Rhinolophus ferrumequinum: one gene and its partner. The protein of the gene in region 2 interacts with the protein of the main gene of each other region in a pairwise test. Links are inferred from orthologs where the notes say so. Each region holds a gene or a part of one and is shown on either strand. Other genes may lie near its edges.

Evidence for each region. The genes of interacting proteins can lie anywhere in the genome.
Region 1: the proteins of DEUP1 (region 2) and ESRRG interact in binary tests that used the Homo sapiens proteins (3 or more experiments, as listed by UniProt). The two-hybrid records come from large-scale screens. The link is inferred for Rhinolophus ferrumequinum from reciprocal best matches to the Homo sapiens genes DEUP1 and ESRRG.

What each region holds. Positions count from the first base shown.
Region 1 is NC_046310.1:8,615,115-8,622,696, reverse strand, and holds the start of ESRRG (estrogen-related receptor gamma), read left to right. Parts: upstream 1-4,563; 5' UTR 4,564-4,736; coding exon 4,737-4,792; exon of another isoform or gene 4,793-4,796; intron 4,797-7,582. UniProt on the Homo sapiens protein: Orphan receptor that acts as a transcription activator in the absence of bound ligand. Binds specifically to an estrogen response element and activates reporter genes controlled by estrogen response elements.
Region 2 is NC_046294.1:64,567,663-64,575,115, forward strand, and holds the start of DEUP1 (deuterosome assembly protein 1), read left to right. Parts: upstream 1-4,443; 5' UTR 4,444-4,486; intron 4,487-5,682; 5' UTR 5,683-5,708; coding exon 5,709-5,755; intron 5,756-7,453. UniProt on the Homo sapiens protein: Key structural component of the deuterosome, a structure that promotes de novo centriole amplification in multiciliated cells.

The DNA of each region.
Region 1 (7,582 bases), on a different chromosome or scaffold from region 2:
TGACAAAATGAAAGTGAAATAATCCTGAATTAATTAAACAGAAACTGGGTTGCCTCTATTAGATTCTCTGTCTTCCTTTGATTGTTCCACCCCCCCACCCCCCTCCATCCCCACTCTTTCACAAACACACTGGGAAAAAGTGTTTGGTGTGTTACTGAGGTGATGTAATTGCCCCCCAGAGAATGGGCCTTTTTTTTTTTTTTTTTTTTTTTAACATGGACTCAGTAATTTGGATATGGGATGGATTTACAGGACAAGTGGTTTGTCAAAAGGAGAGGATTTTATTAGTGCTTCTGTGGAAGTGATCATTTTCAGTAGACATGATTGCTTCTTGCCAATCGAGACAATAATTTAAATATCAAAGCCTGTGCCCTAGAAATGAAAAGCAACAGAAAATGAGGTATGATGAATTGATAGAGGTTTGGTGGAAATATAGAGTAAAGTAGGCATACGGACGTCGCAAGACGGCTTCGTGATCTCAGTGGGAAAAGTATGTTAAGCAGGTTTCCAGCATAAAAGAAATCCCAAGGCCCAGAGGAGGAAACTAGAGACAGATCAGTGAGGTGACCTGCTCAAGGCCACACAACTCATGACGGGGCAGAAGGGAGTTTGGGCTTCAGGCTTCCTGCTTGTCCTCTAAGCATTTTTTTCCAGGGATCCTCATTGTGTGTTTTCTTTTGGTGTTAAAGTTAGGAGTTTATAAGAGTCTTGGTTTGCTTTCTGTAGCATTGGTATGTTACATAACGTGCGCTATATGAAAGACAGCAGGAAAGAGCGTTCAAAAAGCCAAACAGCTTTTCAAAGGTTTTATGATCTGGGGGAAAGATCTGCAGAGGTAGATTACGAGGCAATTCGAAAAAAATCTATAAATTTGCGATGCCTCGTTGGGTTTTAAATATTTAACAAATGGCACCTGTGCAATACAAAAATCAAAATTTGCTTCCAACATTAGGGCAGTGACTATATGCATGTTAATTCAGGTTAGTCCTGTTAATTTTCAGAAAAGGAAAGTGGGACCTAGAAATAGCTGTTAATATGCAGTAATGATAGCAAGACTGAAGCGGTCTCATCACCTTTTAGCAACAGAAGTATGCATTAGTAGAATGTTTTAGGAAATGATGCTGATTAAAATACAGTAAAAATTCTGCTATAGACACCAGGGATCTATCTACCTTTTGTTTCCACTTCAGTTTTGTTTATTGCCATTCCTTGTTTCAAATGGAAACGAAATACATTTTCTGCCTGGTGTCCCTGTGTCACTTGGCGCCTAAGAATGCGGTTGTTTGGATTGTGGGACTATATTGTTTGAAGAACATGTTGACACTATGATTGGACACTGGGCATGATGCATAATAGACTGATATTAACTAATTTATTAATATTCTTTGTGAAACAATCCGAAGAGGTCCTTTTGTTTGGTCCCATGTATCCTGCTTTGGGTAGACTCCTTGTGGTAAGATTGTGAAGTGTTAGCAAAATGTGTTATTCTAGGCTGTTATCTATTTGTTTCATTTCCCGCCCCCAAATCCTTGAAGTTGTGACTCTTAACGGTTTATGCCCAGTATTGCTCGTGCTGTGTATATTTCCTGTGATTATCCGCTCTTTCCTCTTTCAAGATGAGAAAACTCTATCACTCGGGAAGATTCTTGAACTGACTAAGCTATGTGTTTAGAAAATATTCTGGAGGCTATCTCACAAGTTTAGGGCCATAGAGATCATTTTAAATTTTAAATTGGTTAAACTGGATTCAAGACAGTAGGTGTAATCTTAGGTCCTGGACTTGTAGAGGTGACATATTAATCCCAAGGGGAAAACAGAGAGCTCTGAAAACCTAGTGCACTTCTGGTCATTCGGAAAGCAGCTAGCTTAGTGGACACTGCACCTTGCATAGATGAAATATGGTTCCTGAGAGATCAATGGGGACTAAACTGGGGACGCTTGTACATGGATCTCTGTGAGCACAGAAAAAAGACGTACACATGAATATGAGTCTAACCATGTTAAAAATCTATATATACTAACAAAATCAAATGGTTCATAATGGGTCAAATAAGTACCTAAAGGGCATAAGAAAATTCTGGGAAATAAAAGATAACTCCTGTGAAATGTGGTGACTTAAGGTCCATCGGTAAATAATTGACGACAAATCTTGTCTTTAAAAAGCCATTTCGACGGAGGAATAAACAGGTTCTGTCACAGCATGATAATGCAAAGAAACTGACGGCAGTACAGGATTCTGCACAGGTGCAGAATCTGAATGCGTCGATCCATTAAATAATTTATTATTATTATTTTTAAGTAGGTCTCTGGATAAAGTAAGAAGAAAACTTTTTTTTTTGTAAATCTTTTAAAAATATGTAACAATTGGATCCATTCAGTACCCAGAAGATTTCAGTTTATTCAGAAGTCAAGATAGTAATCTGAATCAAAGATATTTTTTAAGCTGTCTTTATAATGCAGTATTAGCTTCCATATTTCTTTTATTGTATTTCAGAAAAATCATGTTTCTTTTTCAAATGCCTTTTCATTTATTTTTTAATTACAAAGTGATTCCATGTCTCATTTTAGATTGAATAGGCAAATCTTCCCCCACTCCTTGGTATCTGCAGAATGCTTGGATATTCTACATCTCAAAGCTCTTTTAATTCACTACTCACAACCAAATTTACATCTTAATTGCAGAGTTCACATTTAACAATATAGACAGCATAATGCTACTAGTAATTAAGCTTTTACTACCTGCTTTTATACAGTATTTTCAGGCACAGTTTTTGCTATGTGAGTTCCCCTCTAGAAACTTGTATGTATTTAAACCACAAATAAAAGGAATCAGGCCTGTATCTTAGCTCTGACTAAATACATGGTAGAAAAATTGCTTTTTTTCAGTGGGGGGACCAAATGATGCCTGTCGTTTTTATATTCTGCATTTTAATGTGGTTGTTCTATTTTTGTATTGTGTTTTGTTTTGTTTTTTGAAGACCTAGAAAATTTGAGAGCATTGAGAAAAAGAATCAAGTTCTGATTTAGTGAATTTAACACACGCTGACTATCTGAATTAATTTATTTTAATTTCAAAGATTATACTATTTATGTCATGTAAGACATTTGATACAAAAGGTTGGTAAGCAGTAGCACTGCATTATATCAAAATTGTGAGACTTCCACTCTCCATACGGTAGCAGTCATCTCTTTGCCATAAATAGGTGGTATTTATTCCAAGTACATTTGCTAGTCTAAAAAATCCTGTATTTTAAAATAGCACCTAACAAAACTCTTTGTCACGTGGAAACTGAAAACACGCTATATACTATTGGAGGAAAAAACACCCTCCTCTTCTTATATTCTCTGAAAAAGATACTTTTTATTGAGAATTCTTATTTTTGTAAATTATTATGTTTGAAGCTAGTCCTTATAATGATCAGACTGTGTGATGATTTCCAAAATATTTCTGAGCTGATTTTTTTTAAAGTATTCAGGGTGTATTATGTATAGGAACAAATATGTAAACAGCCTTTTATTAGAAAGCTGATCTTTTGGGTAAAATCATATATATTTGTATATGTCTCCTAGTTTGGAAGCTTGTATTGAAATAAGTATATGACTGAGAACACTTGGAGTGCACTATTTTGTGATGCTCTCCCTACCATAAAAAATAAAAAATAAAAAATGCAGCCTTTATTTTGTCAAAATGCTCTGAGATGGATTTTAGGTACCATTTACACTACAGTTCTCAGTCTCCCATCCCTGAAAGTGGAAAAGCCAATTTGTCCTGCAGTTTTGAAAAGCTATGCATCGTATATCTATAGGTAGGGAGACAGCAGCAGGTAAAGAAATGTTTACACAGATAATTTAAATAGGCATCCTCTCAAAATTGTCTCCAGGCACTATTTCCCCACTCTGTACTTGTGAAAAACTGAATTCCTCCTCAAAGATGAGATCTCCATTCACCTGCCCCAACAATTGAGAAGAATATCTTTGATTCTTTAAACTGCCCCGTCTACATCAGGAAAACAGGAAAAGACACGATGACGAATGCACGAGAAAGTACAGCGCTCAATAAGCCGCAGCCCCCAGTGGAGTAGGACACACACAACCGCAGGACAAACTTCATTCTCTACCTTCCCGCAGAATCCTTTCCCAAATTAACTGAGAGTCTGCGTGAGTTCTTCTTTGCAAGGCAAAACGGATCTTACGTAGGAGAGAAACCCAATGCCTCCAGTGCTTAGAGAGTTAAGTTAGTTATGTTTCTTTGGCAGCTTCCCAGGAAAAAAAAAAAAGAGAGAGAGAGAAAGAAAAAAAGAAGAAAGGAAAGGAAAGGAAAAAGAAAAGAGAGGAAAGCAGAAGCCCAGGATCCACAGACTGCGTTTCTATCCCTGGTCTTGGCTCTCTGTTTCTCTCCCACTCTGTTTTCACCCCTTGCTTGTCTGCACCCGTCCTACCTGCCTGGCTGCGTTGCTCGGTGCAGCCTCCCGTGGCCTCCCTCCTGATTGGGCAGACGCCCCCCAATCGGCTGCGCGGCTGGGCCAGTGGGACTGCATATGTAAAGCCCTACTTCATATTAATAAGCTCCAATCGGGGCTTTAAGTCCTTGATTAGGAGAGTGTGAGAGCTTTGGTCCCAACTGGCCGTGCCTATAGGCTTGTCACTAGGAGAACATTTGTGTTAATTGCACTGTGCTCTGTCAAGGAAACTTTGATTTATAGCTGGGGTGCACACATAATGGTTGCCGGTCGCACATGGATTCGGTAGAACTTTGCCTCCCTGAATCTTTTTCCCTGCACTACGAGGAAGAGTAGGTACCTTTTTCTTTCCTTTTTAAAACTCGGCGTGGGGGTGCGTGTGTCTCAGTGTGTGTGTGTGTGTGTGTGTGTGTGTGTGTGTGTGTGTGTGTGTGGAGGGGGGTGGACAGAATGTCTCTTTGCACACTGATTCAGGTAATGCCCTGGGTGTTTTGTGTGCACTGTGCTTGTTTGCGTCTGTCTGGTGCCTTTTGTGTGGAGCGTGATCTCCTAATTCAGTAAGTCGAGAATTGTTCTGACTACAATATTACCTTTGAGGCGAAGCTCAGTGACTGTCCGTAAAACAGCTGTGTGACAGTCACTTCTTATTCAGGTGCTAAGAATAGGCACTTGGCACAAATGCTTAGTGAACTGTTAAAATGCATCTTTTCCTAGGACCCATTTTCCCAAGGAAAGATGTTTTAAAATACAATATTCAAAATGATTTATACTATGGAGCGCTTCTTATGGATGTGCAGTTTGACAGATATTTTCAGCGCCCTGTCATTTCTTAACCCGGCAGAGTTAGAGGCAAAATTGCACATTTACTAATTCTCCTTCAGAAAACAATTTAAAAACTAGCCCTTTGCAGTTCAGGGCTAGAATAATGTTATTTGCATGGTTAGCGTTAAGTCAGCACTTAACTGACAAATCAGTCCATTAAGTAACATGAGATTTTCACACATTATTAATATTTAAGGGAGAAAAAAAGCCCTAAAGAAACAGTAGTGACTTTTAAAATTTCCCCTTGAAGAGACTCTGTTGAGATTGTGAATTTGTTTCGTGATTCATGTCCAGAAAATATAGAAAAGTAGTTTTGTTCTTACATGCAGTTTAATTTGTATTTATGAACATCTTTATGCCCATGGATCTATATATTTGGATTAGTAAAGGTGGGGTAGATAGGGGGTTAGGTGAAGTAAATTAGGCATTCCTGTATAAATGAGTAGGTCATAAACTTAATTTCAACCCACTGTTAAGATAAAATATTAGTATGTCACTGGAGCTGTCACTGGTCCATCTTTCTGTTGAGTCAGTTATATTGCTTTGCTTTCAGATTACATTAATATCAACTGTTATAATAATTCTGAAAAGAGTGCTCTTGGCAAACATTTCTCTCTATAGATTGTGGAGAAAATATAAAACTGTAGAAGATGAGGCAGTGCATTATAGGGAAATGTCCACTAGCTGTCCTTAGTGATTGCATATTGCACTGCTTTGTAATTAAGTAAGAGATGAAAGTGACTTGCAGCCTGAGTGGCTGTGTGTGTGTGTGTGTGTACACACACACAGACTCATATACACACTCATGCAGAGGATATTAGCCAAGAGGTAGACTTAGGAAGAGCTGAAAGGTTGGAAGGCTGTGCTTCCATCAGTTGGAAACACTCGAGAAACAAGCTTAAACTGTGTGAAAATAAAAATGAAAAATAAACAAAAGTAGGACTGCGCACTCCAATGTAGGGTGAAGGTTAGAGGACTGGGGACTGGAGAATTGGAGAGTTTAAAATGTCTTCATGTCAGGAAGAACACATTATCCGAACTCACCCAGGTTCTGAACTTTTCTCTCTTAAATAAAGAAATAAAAGAAACTTTAAAAATCCCCTAGAGGCGTCTTTTTAAAGTAGTTTCCTTGAATTTAACTTTTATAGCTAATTTGAATAATTGGTTTAGATAAGCCTCTTAAAGCAGATGCATTTAAATGAAATCAGGGCACATGTCCTTTTGGCTTTGGCGCAAGATTCAAACTAGCTTTCTTTTGGGCTCCATTAAAAGTCATCTTTAAAAAAAATACAGATTTATTGTCTGGATGCAGTTCTGATGGTTACGTGGTTCACTGGACAGACAGAAAGATCTAATGCTAAGCAACACATCTGCCTCTCTGTCTCAATTAATAAACCCTAGAATTTATACATGCTATTAATATTCATAGTAATTGTACTGGGTTAAACCCCATCACGTGTGTGTATACATAGAAATGAAACCAGTTATGCAGTTTCACAGGAAAATATTGGACAATTTCTGCTTCGGAGGCGATTAAAAAAAGGTTCGTACAATTTATTGACCACCGTTAGAAGAGCCTAAAATGTTAACCTATAACTATGTATTTTTTTTTTTTTAATTTAGGAAATGGGCCAGCACATTAAAGAACATAATACTTGAAAGCTTGTTTCACATTTAATAGCAGTAATAACTGATAGCATAAATAGATGAAAATAATATATCTGCTCATTTTGACATACGTGTCAGTCTAATCATGCTAAATGAGTGTGCTCATCACATGAATCCCTTTCAACCTCTGATTAAAATGTAACATTGACTACAGGATTATAGAGCGGACTTAATTTTACTGACTGTTTTAACAGTTGTCACAGCTGTTGGAAGAAGGAAAGGCAATTGAAACACTCCAAAACAGGCAAGACGAGGAGGGAATAGTTCAGTAAATTTCAGCTTGATCACTGAAATCCAGACACTGACAATTAAACAAATTTGGGTTTTCAGAATGCTGTTTGGAGCTATGTAAGTTTTATTTTGCATGGTCCACTCTTTCTGTTTCAGGGTTTTGGTTATTTTTTTTTTTCTCTGCCTCATCTCTCCTTATTAGAAGCTGAAGTAAATTGAAATATAACTGTCCAAAAGTAATACTGTAATGTCAAAATCTATGGGATAAAAATAGACAGGAAGGAAAAATGTATACAGTAACAACAACAGAAAGCTTAAATCAGAGTGGATGCAATTTTTTTTTTTAAAGATAAGAGCTTGCCTAAGCCACTATAGGTGTGATATTATTTGAGAACTACGAG
Region 2 (7,453 bases):
CTCCCCACTTCTTAAGTGAAGACTGTACATAATATCTCCATCTAAAGAGTGCAGCATAGAAAGGGAAAGGTGAGAAACTTTACAGTGGAGAGACCTGACAAACACTATCTCGACCAGGTGACTAAGATCAACATCAACAGTCATAAATCATGTTGATATTATGTACATTTAATACAATGTGATAAAAACGGCACTTTATTTCTGTGATCTCTCCCCTCAAACCCATATTCACAATCTAATCATGAGAAAAACACCAGACAAATTCCAATTGAGGGGCATTCTACAAAATACCAGACCAGCACCTCTCAGAAGTATCAAGACCATCAAAAACAAGAAAATACTTAGAAAGGTCATAGCCAAGACATGGTTAAGAAGACATAACTAAATGCAATGTGGTATACTGTACGGGATCTTGCAACAGGAAAAAGTAAGAAAATCTGAATAAAGAATGGACTTTGATTACTAATAATATATCAGCATTGGTTTATTAATTTTGGCAAATGGATTGTACAAATGTAAGATGTTAGTAATAAACACTACTAGATGTGGGAACTCTCTGTGTTATCTTCACATTTTCTCTATAACTCTAAAAACAATTTTAAAATAAAAAGCTTATTTAAGAAAAAGTCACAAAAATAGAACAGCAAAAAACATGCCCATCTTGACTTTGGCACTGGATAAAGGAAAGTTCTTTGTCTGGAACTGTGCATCATAAACCGAACCTAACAGTTATTATCTCGTTCATTCATATTACCTATGCTGTCTGAAAAAAATATCCTGCGAAGAATTTAATGTAAAGTGTTTTGGGATTTGTTATGTCCTGAAGCAACTCTCAAAAGCAAAGGTAAATCTTCTCTGGAAGATTCCAAACCTCGATCTTAGCCTCAAACATGTCAGAAATAAAGTTACACCAAAAATTTATCTCCTAGCCAAAAAAATCATAACACACACAAGACAACACGATATGAGTAAAAACTAATGGCAATAAATCGCAAACATTTCAGAACCTGGAATTATAAGACGCAAAATAGAAAATGACTATGATTAATATGTTTAAAAAAATAAAAGAGAAGCTTGGACATTTTGACAGAGAAATGGAAATTATAAAAAGTGACAAAGATGATTTGCAAAATGGCCACATTAATTTTTTTAATTTCAAATTTGATAAATACTTCTTGAGTACCCACTATTTGCCAGGCATGTACTAGATATTTTCACATATATCATCTATTTTTTATTTTCATAACAACAAATAACTCCATTAATAAGTACTAAAGTTGTAAAACCTTCATGTTAAAATATTTGCATTATTTTATCTTTCCCTACACTCTGGAAACTGTCTTTTGATCTGTTTTCCAGTTCACAAATTCTTTCTGCATCTGTATCAAGTCTACACTTACACATATGTTGTGTTCTTAATTTGGGTTATTAGCAATTTTTTTAGCTTTAGAATTTCTATTTAGTTCCTTTTCAAATATAGTGGGTCATTTTTTTATATTAGTGCTCCCTGCAGACTTTTTAAATCTTGTCCTTTACTTCTTTAAGCATACGAGTTCAGACAATTAAGTTTGTGAACTCATCCTAGAAAAAGTGCTACATACCTCATTGCTGAATATCACTATGGTCACCTTCCAAGTACTGCCCTTGGGAAGCTATGTACCTACACCAGCGCCTAGTCTACCCTTCAAAGCAATTTTGGGACTGTTTTTCTGGAATGGCCATCAGAGCTGTCATACCATTACCCTTGATGTCCTGAATGCCATCAAAATGTCTTGCTTTCAATATTTCCTTTATCTTTGGGTAAAGAAAGAAGTCACTGGGGGCCAGATCAGGTGAGTAGGGAGAGTGTTCCAATACAGTTATTTGCTTACTGGCTAAAAACTCCCTCACAGACAGTGCTGTGTGAGTTGGTGCATTGTCGTGTTGCAAGAGCCATGAATTATTGGCAAAAAGTTCAGATCATCTAACTTTCATGCAGCCTTTTCAGCACTTCCAAATGGTAAATTTGGTTAACTGTTTGTCCAGTTGGTACAAATTCATAATGAATAATCCCTCTAATATCAAAAAAGGTTAGCAACATTGTTGCAACAAGTTCAGAAACTTAATTGTCAGACCTTTACTATCCATACTTTTCATCATTTCTGTCTGATTCCAAAATCTGAAGCTTCTGTGGTTCTGTTTTTGGTGATCTGATGTTTCTACTGGTTTTCCTCATTCCTCGGCCATATGTGCCTTATATACTTTCTTTTGACCGTTTCTTATTATATCTTATTCTGACTGCTGTGACCTCCAATTCTCTTTAAGGACTGTGCTCTCGCCAATACCCTGGTCACATTCTTCCCCTCCTTTAAACTCAGGGATTTTTTTTGCTCTCTCCATTAATTTCACATGAAAAGATCTAATAACAGGTACGTTTCAGAGTAAATTTTTCTTTGCAGTTACTTCTTACTGGGGGTTGGAGTGGGGGTTGGGGTGGATATAGGCAGGCCTTTGCATTTTAAGCCTTAAGTCACATCCTGAAATGAAAGCCTTCATTCCTATTAAATTAAACGGGGGCGGGGTTCTATTCTATACTTAAATTTTCTTAAAATACATCACAGTTTGTGTTCTTTCACATGCTTATGTTTTGCAAGTCCTGCCCACACCCATTCTTTCTTTTGAAAATGTGGCTTTAAATACATCTGCAGTTACCTATGCAACATTCTGACTGCTCAAGAAATCTACTCAACCTTAAATTGGAGATAGTTTGAAGAGCACTGGACTTTGAGTAGGATGGTCTAGGTTCTTAGCTACTCTTAGTCTAGATGTATCATCTAGGACAAATTCTTTATTCTCCCTAAAGCTTAGGTTCCTAATTTGCTGAAAGGAGCTATAATAACACCTGTTATACTTGTGTCACATGGTACTTCTGAGCAACTAAGGAAATAATGAACGTGAATGAACCAATGGTAAAGAGCTACGCAGTGTGAGTGATATTGGGCATCCTGAAACTTCAGGAAATTTTCATTCCTAGTTCCATTTTCTCTTCCTCATGTCAGAATAAATACATTGACCCATTCAGTTTAGACAAGAATAAAGAATAAGACTAAGGTTTTCAGAATAATGAAAAGTTTCAAGTTACGATAAAATTATTACTCTCTTCATTCAATCATGATATGAGAGCTATGAAACACTTATTAGAACTAATAACCTGAGTTGCTGTTACACAATTCATCTATGAAACTCAATTTGTCACAAAACAGCAAATGGTTTTTTTGAACCTGAATGGAAGGATTGGAGTCAGTTTTAAATTGATAGCCATATTAAAGTAGCAAATTAATCTTAATGTTATGAAAGTAGAAAGCAAATAAAAGATTTTAAGAATTAGAAATCAATCGACTGTATGTATTGGGAAGGAATTCTGTTACCAAAATAGGTGCAAGAATATTTTCCAAGCACAAAATTCAAGTACTTAAATATATCACTCAAGGTATCAGTAGAAAAAAATGTATACGCACAAATACATGTATATATCCTTTCCTATCATTGCTTTCAAATGAGGACTGTGTGACAGAACTTTTGTCATCAATTATTCTTGGAATTTGGTGAAAAAAGAAAAGAATTTGGAATCAGTCACTCTGTGTTCTGTCCCACTTAGGAACTATTTCCTTCTCCCTAAAAGGGAGGCAAGTCTGCCCCGCCTAACTCACGGAGCTTTTCTAAGGCTCCAATCAATGCACTGTAGGGAAAAGACAGGTACAGCTCTGCTGTTATCGTGACCAGACTAGCTGTCCACTGAGCGATGCTGTTAAAAGAAATCCAGCTACTCCCGACTGGAAGACATCTCGGTGAATTGAAAAGGGAGCTCTCTCTTTACCCCAAGTCTATTTCTTTTTCATATCATTTCAAATGTGGGTGAGAGGGCGAAGGGCCAAGGGGATTGATTTAAAGAACTTGGATGTAGATTCCACCCCCACTCCCCGCTTCTTACACTTTGTTCCTTCATTATTTCCTTCCTTCATTCATTCAACAAATATTTCTTGGACCCCCGTTGGATGCTGGACACCGGGCTAGGTAGGGAGAGCCACAGAAAGGAAAGGACCCGGAATGTGGTCTCAGGGTACCCTTCGTCTAGGGAACAACCAGGCGTAAAACTGAGGGACCGAGAGGTCGCGCTCGAGTGGGTGGTTTCCGTGGCCGTGGAGCCCCCGCAAGGCCTCGCCTGCCGACGCCTCCCGCGGGTTAGCCTATCCCCCACCGCCAGGCCCCCGGGCTGCGAGTTTGGACCGCGTCCCCATGGCAACCAGTGGCAAAGCGGCGGCCTGGCTGCTGGCCCGGAAAGTGAAGCCCTAACGGCTTCGGTGGCCACGCGGCGAGCGGGCCCGGACGGCGGGAACGTGGCGGGGACGGCGGGGCCCCTCGGGGCGGGCGGGGAGGGCGGTGACCCGGGAGTTTCTGCTCCTGGGACCTCAGACCTCTCGGGAGAGCGCGGCGCAGTGTGATGCAGGTAACCCATCCGGGCGTCCCCGGCTTCACCCCCAGATCTTCGTCCTGGCCCCCGGGCGGGGCTCGCTCGGGAGGAGCTGGGGACCACAGCAGGTCGGCCGCTCCACGGAGGCTGGCCTTGAACCCTGCGTGGGTCTGGACAAGGAGGTCGGGGTCGGGGTCGCGGTCGGGCGACAGGTGGGGAGAGCCTGGGATACCAGGATGGTCCTTGCAGAATTCAGAGCAGAGATTCTACCTAAATTACAAGGTCTAGGTTCTAGTTGTGTGGCCTTGGGCAAGTCACCTAGCTAGTCCGTGCCTCAGTTTCTCTGACGTTAAAGTGAGGGAATTCAGAACCTGCAAAACGAATGTATGCTTCTGTCCGTCGTTCCCCATCCCTGCTCCGCGCCCATCGTCTACATACACAATTCCAGGGTCTCTCTGAAATCCTTTGATTTGAGAGTGATGTGAACCTCTCCTTTTTACCATTTTGAATGCTATTTCATTGACTTTTATTCAGTAAATCAGAGGAATTGAAGTCCTATTCAATTCTTTGTCCGTTTATCCTCATAGATGATTTTTCAGTTAAAATTTTGTTATTGGGAAAAGCTTTTTCTTTTTCTTTTCTTTTTTTTTTTTTTTAATTTAGGCAAGCACTAACACCCCTATTTTGTCAAACAGGTAAACAGGTGCCCACAGAACCATTGAGGAATTGTGAATTTTCTATTTTTAGAGAATTCTTAGGGGTTTTTTTGTCTTAAATATTCATGATATTCATTCTAACAAAACCCAGAAAGGGCCAAAGAAAGAATTTACTCAAAGGCAAACTTTTAGAGGATCCACAAGAAAGGAAAGTTTGCAAGCGTTTCGATGGAACAACTCTTGAATAGAAATTCTGTTTTACTCACCTCATGTACTGAGCACTTTTGCAAAGTACCTGGCACCAAGCCATTGCTCAATATACAGTGAATGAATGCTCATTTGAGTCAGTGCCACATATTTCAACTCATCATTAAGCCAATTCATAGCATGGGGACACGGACACACACACATACACATACACACACAGACATGTGCAAGTTTCTACATTTTATAGAACCAAGAGTTACTCCATTCAGAAAAACATAGAAAATGGTTTGCCAGTAGCAAAATTTTCTTTTTTTATAGGTTAATAAATGTAAGCATTTTAGGAATCTAGACCATTTTTCTCCCTAACAGATTAAAAATCAAGAAATTTAAACCAGATGCAGCAGTTTCTTGACATGGAGAACCAAGCCCATAATACAGTGGGGTAAGTGCTGAGAAATTTCTATTTAATAAGTTGTAACTTAACTATGCCAGAAATTCCCTGACGGTACAGGAATTTTGAAATTCAGTATTAATAGAAGAATATGCCAGTTATTTTTGGTGAGGAGGGTGGGGTAAATTCAAGAGACTTTAATTAAGAATCTATAGTTTGGGTCTTTCAAATTTTGACTATGGAGCTGCACACAAAAATCACCATTTTCCAACTCTTAGTGAGTTTTTTAAAATGTTTTTAGGGTGATGGGTGCCCACACTGGCCCCATGTGCCCTTAGGTTTCCACAGTGAAGCAGCTACTGGCCTGCTTGCTCCTATCTTGTTGCACCAGGTGTCTGAGCATCCGCCCACATTTGCCCTGAAAACTGAACTCAATGCTTAAACATAGCCTCAAAACAGATCTAGCTCCTCAAAACAGCAACAAGAACTGGATATTTTACCAAAACTTTCATGAAGACATAAGGAATAGAATTTGTATAGCATTTGCCATTGTTCAGAATTAAATTCCTTCTCACAAATAATCTGTCCCCACCCCTTCCCTGCCAGCAACACCACAAAGGTTTCTGTTCCTATTGTTTTATTAGCCAACTGGCCCCTGGTTGACGCCAGAGCTGGGCAGGGGAGGTGGGGCAGTGGGTAGGCATGGCACTATAGTGCCTAATCCTGACCGACTGACTTTGCACTAGTCAAACCACTGCAGATGTCTCACTTTCAGTTTTTCTGCTCAGATCATGACTTTAACATCAGGCTAAAAGAAAGCTGCCCAAGTCTCAATAATAATAGCTCTCACTGTTTTAAGTCCTCCTGCACACTCCTCCTGCCCTGTTAGGTATTGTTATTTCACAACTAAGAAAATTGAGCACATTAGTTATAGTCTAAGTTCTTGTAACAAAGAGACCCCAAAATACAGTGGTTTAAATAAGACTGAAGTTCATTTCTGTTTCCTGTACAAGCCCAGAGAGAAGCAGACCAGGACTTGTAGGGTAGCTCTGCCATCCTCACTGCATGATTTCCACCTCTGGGCCCGAAGTGATTGCTTCAGCTCCCACCATCATGACTGTGCTCCTGCCAGAGGGAAAGGGGAAGGGCAAGCGGAGAGCTTAAGACCATTCCTTTTAGGAGTAGGACTTTGAAGTCATACTCCTAAATGAGGCAGGCCTCATTTCTGTTCACTCCCTATTGGCCAGAACTTAGTCCCAGAGCTACAGCTAGTTGCATGGAAGGTGGGGAAATGTGGTTTCTAACTGGACAGCCACATGGCCAACTAAAGCTTAGCAGTTGTATAATAAAAGGAAGAATAACGGATATTGGTGGACAGCTAGCAGCCTCTGCCACATTGAGCTCAGAAATGTAGAAAAAAGAGAAATAAAGCAGGATCTTGCCCCAGCGTATACAATTGGTTAGTGGAGGAGGTAAGATTTGAATTCAGATATGTGTGGTGCCAATCCCTGCATTCTTTGCTACATTGGAAATGGATGACAGTGCGATTCAGGGAGCAGTGTACCTAGTATCCACAGGAGAGCCAGGGTAGGATTCTGGATTGAGCAGGTGTGAGGTCCGTGGTGTGACAATAGCACAGAGGGCTAAGATGCAGATTGAAGGTCTCCAACCTAAGGATGGGTAGCAGATATCACTTCACTCCTGCAAATCTGAGGCCTTGGAGACTGATATTTCTCTTCATTCATTCTT